3 linked regions of the Drosophila melanogaster genome follow. Changing the gene in region 3 together with the main gene of any one other region gives a genetic interaction. Each region holds a gene or a part of one and is shown on either strand. Other genes may lie near its edges.

Region 1 (3,755 bases), on a different chromosome or scaffold from region 3:
TCCATTTACTATTTGTCTTAAATGTCGTTCTCTTCTCGTTCTCTTCCAAAAATGATCAGTAGTTAAATGCTCACTGTTAATCATTTTCTTATGATCAAGCATCCCATAATAGATACTTTTCTTAATCAGAACATCTTTAAATTACCTAGATCTTAAAATATACGCTTCGAATGTATTTATTTCCCTTATTTCTCTATCTAAATTCTATAATTCTGAAAAGATAAATAAACCCCAATGAGTCAATGATTGATGAAAAGAATGGAGTAATGGTTGAAAAATGAATTTTTGATAGTGATCTTTACTTACCCTCAAATAAAAGTACATCGAAAAAATATCACATCACAACAATTTTTGATATTCCGTTTGCATTTAATGTTCTCTCTAAACTTTGATTAATTTTCTCACTAAGTTCCGTTTTTTTATGCTTCTTTTTTAATTTTTTTTTTTTTTGTAAATTTATTTTTATTTTTTTGATAAATTATTATAAGAAAATTTTGCACTTGTAAAATTTAGCGTGTAATTTTTGTTGCATTCATAGACTTTTTGGTTGTTTAAAAATTTTCAGGTAATTTCGTAGTTTTCGATTTCGAGTGTTGACTTCTGCTCTTCTTCGCCTTTTTTTTTTTTTGTTCTCTGGGGATCCTTTCCAAAATATTTGCTTGCCGAAATGCACAATACAAAAGGTGAATTAACTAAGGATCTACGTCTGAATTTGTAGAAACTGAGAGTGTGTCGGGACGATGACGAACCTTTGGCCGAGACTTGAAGACGGAACGGGCCAGACGATATCGAAATCAAATTCAGACGCTTGAATTTTTGCTCAAATCGGAATCGGTGCGGTACTGAAACTGGAGTTACTCAATCGTTTTACTTTATTATTTTGGTTTTTCGTTGGTTTCTGCTGCTGACGTTACGGACTGACTGGTATTGCCTGCTTATTTGGTTGCTTCTTGGCTTTGACTTGCTTTGTTGTGGCTAGTTGTAGTTGTTGTTTACGAACGAAATGTTGCGTTTGACTGGCGCTGATTATCAAGTGATTAATATTATCGATATTGGTAAAAATGTAACTTTGTCTATTTTGTTATTTGTTGTTGGCTGGCTGGTTTTGTTAGTTAGTTTTGGGAAATGAAGAAAAAACTGCTCTACATTCTAGTGCCGGCGCTTACATTGTCTTTGGCGCAAGCCGGCCGTGTGTGTTTTTGGGTTTTTGGCGGGTAATTTTTTGCACTCAAGACGGCATGGCGAGCGATGGCTGTTCGAGCCCCAGCCCGAGTCTTAGTTCGAAGGGCTGGCGGGCCAACGGGGCGTATGAGCGCCTGGGCCGCATTGCGTATACGTAGTGTGTTCCAGGCTGGGTGGTGTAGGTGGTACGTACATAGGTGTCTAGTCTTGCACTTCAAGTCATTTTGCACACACTTTCACTTTCACATTCACTTGGCACTTTTTTTCGTTCTCCTATCGTTTCTCTGCTTCGATGTCTCTCTTTTCTATTTCTATTTGTTTGTTTGTTTTTCTTTTGTTTTTCGGTATTTTTCTGTTGTAGAGTTTTTTCTTGGGGTGGCTAACTGCTTCTGCTACTGCCTCTGGGTTTGATTTATGCAGATGCGAAGAAGTCTGCGAGAAGTGGCGACCTGCCTGCCGACTGCCTGCCTGCCTGCCTTGCACTGCCTACTGATGTGCCTTGCCTGCTGTCTGCTGCCTGCTGCTGCCTGATCCTGGCAGCACGGCTCAGTTCGATTCAGGACAGGCCAGGACAGGGAGACAGCGAGAACCCGAGGAGCAGAAAAAAGCGCCGCAACTTGTTTCGCGTTTAGCAGTTTTCTGTTGCAATGTCCTGGCAAAAATTGCTAACGATGACGGGCCCCAGAGTCACAGAGCCAAAGCCAAAGCCAGAGCCGCTGTCGATGTCGATGGCGTCGTCGCTGCAGCGCGTTGATTATGAGGGACGCCAGCCCCTCGGCCGCTGATGCTAACGCTGATGGAGTAGGATGATGCGGATGTGGATACTTGGATACGTGGATACGGATGAAAGTGGCCGCTGGCCGGGCGCGAAACGCGCAAAAAAATTCCGCGGCTACGTCGCAGCTGCAGCGCCAACCGAATTGTCCTCGTCCTTTTTGGTTTGGCTTTGGCGCAAAAAATTGCTGCGACTGCGACGTCAGCGCCGCTCCTAGCTGCTAGTGTACATATACATGCAAACCTCGCACACAACCACAAACACACACACACACCCACTAGAACAGTGGGCGCACATATGCATTGCTGGACAAATCCAAAAACACAGAGAGAAACAGACAGCAACGCGCGCTCAGTCGCGAAAAATCAAAACAAAGCGCGACGACAGCGGCAGCGGCGTCCTCGCCAATACATGCACACTGCGAGAAGGACACGGACAATGCACATATCGCACACACACACGCTGGCATGCTGCCCCACACTCTTCACACTTTCAATCAAGAGCAAAACGCATTTTGCTGCGCCTAAAAATCAAACAACGCCAAAAAGTATGGAACACCCAAACCCCCAAACGACTGATGAGGTGGTTTTTGGACTGGGCAACTGCGTGGTGGTCTGTTTCGCTGACTGGGTGGCGAAAAACTGCAGCTATCGAGCCTAAGTGTACCTAAAACCCAGCCCCTTTTCCCGCCAGATGGACCATACCATTTCGCAGATACAGATACATCTGCAGGGAGGTAGTGTGGCAGCTGTGGGAGCTGTTGCTCCTGGCTGTGCACTGTTCATGTGCCCCATCCGTCCATGCATCCATACATCCCATCCGCACACCCACCAGCCGACAGGACCCGCCATGTGGCCATGTTTTGTTTTGATTTCGTGCTTCTCACACACATCCATATGCGGGGAAAATGCAATTTTTTCGTTTTCATTTGCAATGCCAAAGCAACAAAATGAAAATCGCAAAAAAAGAAGAGGGAAACCTGAAAGCAAAAAATAAAGCAAAACCCTAAGCGAAACGTAAAAGTTTTCTATGTTGCCCCTGCGCGAATGCAACACACATTTTTTTCCTATTTTATTTTGCCGCCATTTATGGGTGTTGGTTATTGGCACTGGTATTGGTATATCGTCAGAGTTGGCATTAAAATATCCAGCAAAGAAAACTGCAGCTGAAAAAAATGTAGAGCGTCGTCCGCACTCATACCCCGCCAAAAAGGATCCGCGACAACAAGAGCAACAATAATAGAGCCAGCATAAATTCCTACTAACTCATGCACATGGGGGTTCTGGGAAAGCGCATCAAAAAAGCGGAGAAAAATTGGTGGGCGAGTGCAGCGACAGCCACTGCAATTCTCTATGTACGTGCTCAGAGATATATGTGTCCATATATATGTACATATATATATGTATATATATATTATATATATGTATATCAGTGATATATAGACGAGGAGGCACAGATCGGAACTAGGCAGCGCCTGCATTTAATCCTACGCATCGCGCTCGTTACTCATACGCCGCGTATTCCCGGAAATGGATAGAACGCGGGCACAGGTCTGGGATGGCGCAGTTTAGGCCGGATAGGAACAGCAGCACCCACAATCTCCACCCAGTACATGAAGTTTATGGCTTTATCGATGGCATTGGCTATTGACTTTGCCACTGTGCCCGTTCTGCTTTTGCTTCGGGCTCGATATGGTTTTGGTTTGGTTTGCTATGGTTCGGTATGGTTTGGTTGGCCTTCGCAGGATATCAGAGAGAAATTGGGAATGCTGCTCATAAAGAGATTGCCAGATAGCTTA
Region 2 (3,755 bases), on a different chromosome or scaffold from region 3:
GTGTGTATATGTGTGGCAAGGCGAGTGTGATGGTGTGAGTGGAGGCCAGACCATGTGCCTATGCCGTATCCTTACGCCTATGGATATGCCACGCGATGTGATTGTGAATGCGAAAATGTGGCGACGTCGAGGGAAAGTTGTGCTCCCAGCGAAGTTCGCTTTGGTTTGGTTGGGTTCGGTTCGCAGTGGTTTGGCTTGGCTTTGTCGGGGGGGGCTGCTGGCCCCAAAGCTTCTGGGCCAGGATGACGTAGTCCTCCGGCTGAAGTGTGTTAGTATGTCTGCCCTTCCGACTTGGGGTTGCACACACACACCAGCTCACAGCGTATCCATACAGGCGCAACGAGGGTGCGAAGGGGCATTAAATGGTTCGTGTTTTCCCTGCCCTTTTTCATATTTTCATTTGTGCCTCATCTCGCCCGTTTGTCGCCCATATTGGGGTCGCCTGACGGTTCGTACTTTAAAAGCGCCATTTAGTTCGCGCGCAGCCTAAATTATTAAAAGCAAATCCAACACACCGCACACAGGCAGTTCATTAAATTCAATGTATGCAAAATAGCGGCAACAAATGCGGCAAAAGGCAATCTTCCGCCACCCACCCACTCGGCCATCCAGCTGTTGTCATTTTCGAGCCACGAGCCTCAAAAAAGAAACAAGTTTGCGAGGCAAGCTCATCATAATCATGTGCCTTCCAAATGCAGGCGGAGAAAAGTGGGACACTTTTGCAAGAAAAGATGAGAAAATGTTTGAATTTCATCAGTGCTATGATGATATTTCACACAAATCATACTTATATACATACGCAGCAAGTCACATTTCACGAATGACAAATTCCATTGCCTACTTTTAGGCACTACCACAACTTTAGGCACCACATTGCTTTTAAATAGCCATAACTTTAAGATCTTTTATAGATTTCTGATTAGTTCAACTCTTTTCTGGTTATGAATTGTGTTTATCACAGTTTCCCCCCACAATTTGAAACTACTGCAGCGAGTTTTCGCTGCGTGTAGCAACTTTGCTGCGCAAATATGTTTCGCCAACTTCAATTTGTGTCCCAGGTAGTAAGTTTACCGCTGTGTGCGTATGTTTGAGGGGCATGCCGTGTTACTGTTGCCATCGCTGTGTGTGTGTGCGAGCTTGGCTTTTTTATGCGTCACGTGAGAATTTCCTTTATTATTATTTGACTTGGCTACCTCGGTACATATCACGTATACGCAACGTATAATTCCGCAGAAAGGGCATTGATTTTTTTGATTTGCTTTCAGTTCGGTTCGCCATTCCCCCCTTTTCGTTTATTACTTTGATTGCTTTTCACTGTTTTCTTCGTTTTATTTTTTTGTTTTTCTTTTTTTTTTGGTTTGAGGGCATGGATACGCTGCAGTTTGTGATTTTCTTTGCCCTGCTCAAGAAGAAAAATATTTGCTTGCCATTTATGTATATTCTGTTTTCATCTCGTTTTTTTTGTTGTTGTTTGTGTTTGGCACTTTTGGGCATTCGTTTTTTATTCTTGTTGCACGCTGTTCGGTTCATCACCACATTCACACACTTACACACTCATTCACTGACTCACACACACACACACACTCACGCGCGTAAGAAATATACTACTAAAATACAAATTGCTCACAATTTCCTTTGCTCTAGATAGTTGTTGTTGCTGCTGCTGCTGCTGCCTCGCACTGTTTGCTTTCCCACTGGATTTTCTCGGAAAACTCGACGACCACGCGCTTCGACGTCTGACCACGTTCTGAGCCGAATTTCCCACAGCCTTGGTGGAAAATGCGAATGTGGCGTTGGTGAAAAGTCTGCGAGGAAAAGTCACCATCAGGCGGCAGCCGCTTTTCCTCTCACAGGACCTGCGCATTTCCCGCCTGCAGGTGACACACTTTTCCGCGCCAACCGTCGCCGATGAAGTGGATTTTTCGACCCCTCCTCGGGCCACCGCTCCATCCCCCCCTCTGAGCCCACAAGCTCCACTATTTACATGGCACATCGGTTTAAGGCGGCTGGCAGTTTTCCTTCGTTTGCCCACTTTTTTCGTACTTTAGGTTGAAGTAAATTTCGCATGCATTGGCCGGAGGATGGATGCACTGAAAGAAACACATTACCAGCTTGCATATTATATATATATTATATATAGATATTAATTGATAAAATATTTAGCTTACTTATATTTTTAAACTCTATGATAATGGCATGACTTGATGCGTTAAAGTTTTGTAAATAGTGTATTTTATATATAAAAAAAATCAAAAATATCAAACAAATATGAATAGATTAATTCATAATAAAATGAAATTCTATAATATTTTTAGTATATTTTTCTCTGTGTAGCGTAACAAGACCTGGTGTGATGTGGCGCAAATGTCATTTTCAATGGCCGAAAATTTCGGTATGCTGCTGCCCAGTGCAGGGAGTTGAAAATTCGCATTCGCCGCATCCATAATGGATGATATGTCCTTTCGGCCCGCTGATCCTTCGGTTAAAGCAAAGCCACCGGGTTAACTGACCTTTGCAGTGCGGCCAACTTGAAATGCAAATAAGCGCCAATGTCCAATTGTAAAGTTCAGCAATCTAGAGTATTATTTATCACGTTTCAGCACAAACACATTGCCAAAAGCAAACAATTTAGTTTTGTGCGCAAAAGTTGCTGACGCTGGCACGTGCAATTTGAATAATTAACCGAACATTTTAATTAATGAAACAAGTTTGGTATTGACTTGGCCCAAAGTGTGAGTGCGTGTAGATACACACACTAGCACTTAAAAGTGTGTTTTGGCCCGAAGTGTTGTTGGTCATTTGCGCATTTATTAAATTAGAATTTGTGTGCCATTCGGTATGCTGTTTGCAGTGCTTGTGAATAACAAAAAAAAAAAAAAAAGATAATTAAAGTGAGCAGAAATAATTGGGCACTTTATTTATATTTTTTATTTAGTTACCATTCTAGCTATAAAATATGCTGCGAAAATAGGAATTATAAAACACATAGCTGTGTTGTGTGCCATTTGTTATAGTTTAATTGATAATTATTTCGCATAATTATTTCTCTTAATGAGTATAAACACTATTTTAAAACATTCCGAACAATTTATAAATGAAAATTTAAGCAAATGCTTAAAGTTAAAGAACTGACTTAATTATTCCATTTGTATTCCAACTGACAGCAGCTGTTGCAATTATCCCCCTTGCCAAAAACTAAAGTGAAAATGAGGTGGTGGAAAACCATATTCCACGAAGGAATGGCGTTGGCGGATCCCAGAAAGGAAACCGCCGACTGAAGCTGTGAAATGCGAAACGCAGCGGTATCAAAGGGGGAAAAGCGAACTGCCAGAAAAAAATCACAACTGAGAAATCAGAAAAAGGAAAAACCCAACCGGAGCCAACTCAATTCAGCGAAATCAACGCCAACGGCGGCTGCCTGTCAATTAAAACATTAAAACGCGCTGAAAAATGCAGCGAACAGGCGCAAAGTAAACAAACTGCGGAACATGTTGCAGTGCGGACAGCATTTTCCAACATTTTCCAACATTTTCAGCGATTAGAAGCATAGAATTTCGCAATGGAGCACTTAGAGCAGCACCAGAGTTTCGGGCCCAGACCACCAAACCGAGCAAAGAAATCCGATTCGTCGACCAGGGGAGGGACTAATGTGTGACCCAGTTTGGATCACTGTGCAGGAAAGGAACTCTGTGTGTTTTGGCCATTTGCTTTTTGATCATTAAAAACTGGTTGGCCGCCGCCAGCTGAGCGCCCCA
Region 3 (3,755 bases):
CCGTAATATTAAGTTTTGATTACGTCATTATGTTATTATAAGATTAGACTTTAGTGTTGCGTACCAGAAATTTAAAAAAAAAAAAAATCCCGCACGGTTAACATAATCGACGGCAGGGAATATTAAATTATTAATCGAGAAATCCCCTGAGAAAGCCAAAATTTCATTAATAAATCAGCATGTCGCGGAGAAAATGTCTGCCAACGACGTGCATTTCCCTTATTTTAGATCAAAATGTAACAAAGAACAATATATTAGGGAGTTAACAAAAAATAAACATTTTTTCCTCGTGCTGCAAATAAAAAGAAAGATTGCCGATTAAATAATTCTTTAGTGTCTGGCACGAAAGCAGAGGTGCCTTTACAAAGTTTGCTTAACCAAAGTTTGCTTAACTTTGCAAGAAGAAGGCCTATTAAGAGTACAAATCAAAAATTGATCCCAAAAATGTCTTTTTACTTAAAAGATATGTATTTATTTTGGTAACAAAATTAAATATAAGGGGCGGACCACGCCCACAATTTTTGGTATCGTAAAGATATAGCCTAGTGTTACCCAATAAAAAAAAAAACAGAAACTAAATATCTCTCTCCGTTTTGTCAAAAAGGTACAATTCAGCCTTTAGTGGCTTTGGCGCCTCAAACGTTTTTCAAATCGAAGAGAAAATTTCGAGAGCGAAACAGAAACAAAGTGGAATCGAAACAGTGAGAGTGAAGAGAAGCAATTGGCTTAAAGAGAATGCTTATGCTCTTTTTCGTACTGAATTTTAGCTTGGCTCTTTCTAAACGTTCTAGTTGTATATTTACCGTATTGTATTTCTGAGAAATTTTCCTATTTTTTTAAAATTTTTTCTGGGTATTTGGACAAAATCGAATCAAATCCAAGTCGTAAAATTCTCGCCAATTCGATTACCGGAACATGCCCGCAGAAAAAAATTCTATATCATTATCTAATGATGAATTACAGAATAATCATATTAGTACGCCGAAGTAGTAAAGCTATTAATTTATTATAAATATTCCTAAGGATCCATAATGAAAGATGTTAATATATTTAATATTGTTTACTTATAAACGGGGAATACAATATTTCTAAAACTTTTTACGCAAAATCGATTGAATATTGGTTACTTTTGATTCCGTACAATAACATACTTGTTAATAAACAAATTTAGTGACTACAATTACTACGTTCACTCCTTTCTCCTGCCAAAAAACATTTTATTGATGCAGAAGTCTACCTGCTCATTAATGCATCGCCCTGTGTCCTAAAAATGTTAGTATTTTATGTTGGGTACCTGCCCATGTTTTTTGCGTTTCAGTTATTAAGTCAACTAATGATGCACCTGATAATGATAATGAGGTAAAAGGAAACCCTTGTTCGCTAATCCTCCAAAAGTGGGGTTTTTCGAATTTCTAGTTAAATTTCTAGGTAAGATCATAGATCTCCTTATTGCGCATTGAATGCAAATGCAGAGAGGACGAGAGAGAGCAGCTGCGGAGAGCACGATGCACACAGGTAAACATATTTGAATATATGGCCCACACTAGAGCAAATATAACGGCATCGCTTCGTTTGCGGCTTCGATTGGTGCAAGTGTACGAGTTCGGCACGTGAGGCAATTCTACATAAACAAGGCGAAACCTGTTTAGCCGAGTGCCGCGATTGGTCGACGCATATACCTGAATGAACATGCATACTCTCGGCGGAACGCCCGAGAGAGCGTTCTCTTTTGGCAGCTTCGTGTAATGAGCCGAGTGCCGAGTGCAGGGGCAGTATAAAAAGGCCGCACCACCGCCAAACTCGCTCAGTTATTCCCAGACTCTAACCGATTCACATAACCATCTCTCCCAACGCAATATACCCGAAATATAACCGATATTCAATCGCTTTGCTTAACGGAACACGCGTTTGGTATTTGTGCATCGATCGAGTATTTGTGCCTGTGTGAACATGACACACTGAAAACAAAGTGACGAAAATTAAGAACATTTTACAACAATTCCGGTAAACTATCAATAAAAAGCCAGTAAAATGCATACCGTGGAAGACATGTTGGTGGAGAAAAACTACAGCAAGTGCCCGCTAAAAAAGCGCCCAGTTAATTACCAGTTCGAGGCGCCTCAAAATCACAGTAACACCCCAAATGAGCCGCAGGATTTGTGCGTAAAGAAAATGGAAATTCTGGAGGAAAATCCCTCCGAGGAACTGATCAACGTCAGCGATTGTTGCGAGGACGAGGGTGTGGATGTAGATCATACAGATGATGAACACATCGAGGAGGAGGACGAGGACGTCGATGTGGATGTGGACTCGGACCCAAATCAGACCCAGGCTGCGGCTTTAGCTGCTGCCGCAGCTGTGGCCGCCGCTGCAGCCGCCTCCGTGGTTGTGCCCACGCCCACATACCCGAAATATCCCTGGAACAACTTCCACATGTCGCCCTACACCGCCGAGTTCTACAGGACCATCAATCAGCAGGGTCATCAGATTTTGCCGCTGCGTGGCGATCTCATTGCGCCCAGTTCGCCGAGTGACTCGCTGGGCTCCCTGTCGCCGCCACCACATCATTACCTTCATGGTCGCGCAAGCTCCGTTTCCCCGCCCATGAGATCTGAAATCATCCATAGACCAATCGGCGTGCGGCAGCACCGTTTCCTGCCCTATCCACAGATGCCCGGTTATCCGAGCTTGGGCGGCTATACCCATACCCATCATCACCATGCGCCTATCTCGCCGGCTTATTCCGAGAATTCCTACTACTCCATGCGATCGATGACGCCTGAATCCAGCTGCAGCTCCTCGCTGCCCGAGGATCTATCCCTGAAACACAAGAACCTGAACTTGAATCTAAACACTAGCCAGCCGGGAGAGCAAGCAGCAGCCAAAACCGGGGATATGTCGCCCGAAACTATGCCGAATGCCTCCGCCAAGAAGGACAAGAACCAGCCGCCGCGTTACCAGTGCCCGGATTGCCAGAAATCTTACTCCACCTTCTCCGGGCTGACCAAACATCAGCAGTTCCATTGCCCGGCCGCCGAGGGTAATCAGGTGAAGAAGTCCTTCAGCTGCAAGGATTGTGACAAGACCTATGTTTCGTTGGGTGCCCTCAAGATGCACATTCGCACCCACACGTTGCCCTGCAAGTGCAATCTGTGCGGCAAGGCCTTCTCGCGACCATGGCTGCTGCAAGGACACATTCGCACTCATACGGGAGAGAAGCCCTTCAGTTGCCAGCATTGCCACCGGGCCTTTGCAGATCGCTCGAATCTGCGAGCACATCTGCAGACCCACTCGGACATCAAGAAGTACTCCTGCACCAGTTGCTCGAAGACCTTCTCGCGGATGTCCCTCCTAACCAAGCATTCAGAGGGCGGATGTCCTGGCGGCAGTGCAGGATCCTCCAGCAGCAGCGAACTCAACTACGCCGGCTATGCCGAGCCGTAAGGCAATATATTTATATATACATTATATAGCTGAGATCCCAGCCATGTTCCACCAAAAATTAGTTCCTAGCTCTCTTAGGCGGCTCCAAGTTCCCGAAACTCCCAGTGCAGACACACAACTTCAAGCAGAATTTCACTTGTTTTTTAATTTCTAGTCAGCATTTTCTCCCAGAAGAGAGAAAATTAAAAATTACGTTTTAATTTGTACAATCCGGCAACATTTTTGTAACCACCACCACCAATTTGAATAGTTTGAACCATTTTAAAATGTGTGCCCATAATATATCCTAAAGATGAACTTTGTAAAGTATT

The links.
Region 1: of esg (region 3) and pros, changing one suppresses a phenotype caused by changing the other (phenotypic suppression), as found in Drosophila melanogaster (2 studies listed by BioGRID).
Region 2: of esg (region 3) and jus, changing one suppresses a phenotype caused by changing the other (phenotypic suppression), as found in Drosophila melanogaster (one study listed by BioGRID).

The regions. Positions count from the first base shown.
Region 1 is NT_033777.3:11,326,508-11,330,262, reverse strand, and holds the start of pros (prospero), read right to left. Parts: upstream 1,784-3,755; 5' UTR 307-1,783; intron 1-306. UniProt on the Drosophila melanogaster protein: Homeodomain protein that controls neuronal identity. As a transcriptional factor, regulates the expression of ftz, eve and en in a subset of neuroblast progeny and modulates the transcriptional activity of other homeodomain proteins such as Dfd.
Region 2 is NT_033777.3:29,193,261-29,197,015, forward strand, and holds the start of jus (julius seizure), read right to left. Parts: upstream 1,734-3,755; 5' UTR 1,628-1,733; intron 1-1,627.
Region 3 is NT_033779.5:15,332,063-15,335,817, forward strand, and holds the start of esg (escargot), read left to right. Parts: upstream 1-1,803; 5' UTR 1,804-2,031; coding exon 2,032-3,444; 3' UTR 3,445-3,755. UniProt on the Drosophila melanogaster protein: Transcription factor that can both stimulate and repress transcription. Binds to the consensus DNA sequence 5'-A/GCAGGTG-3'.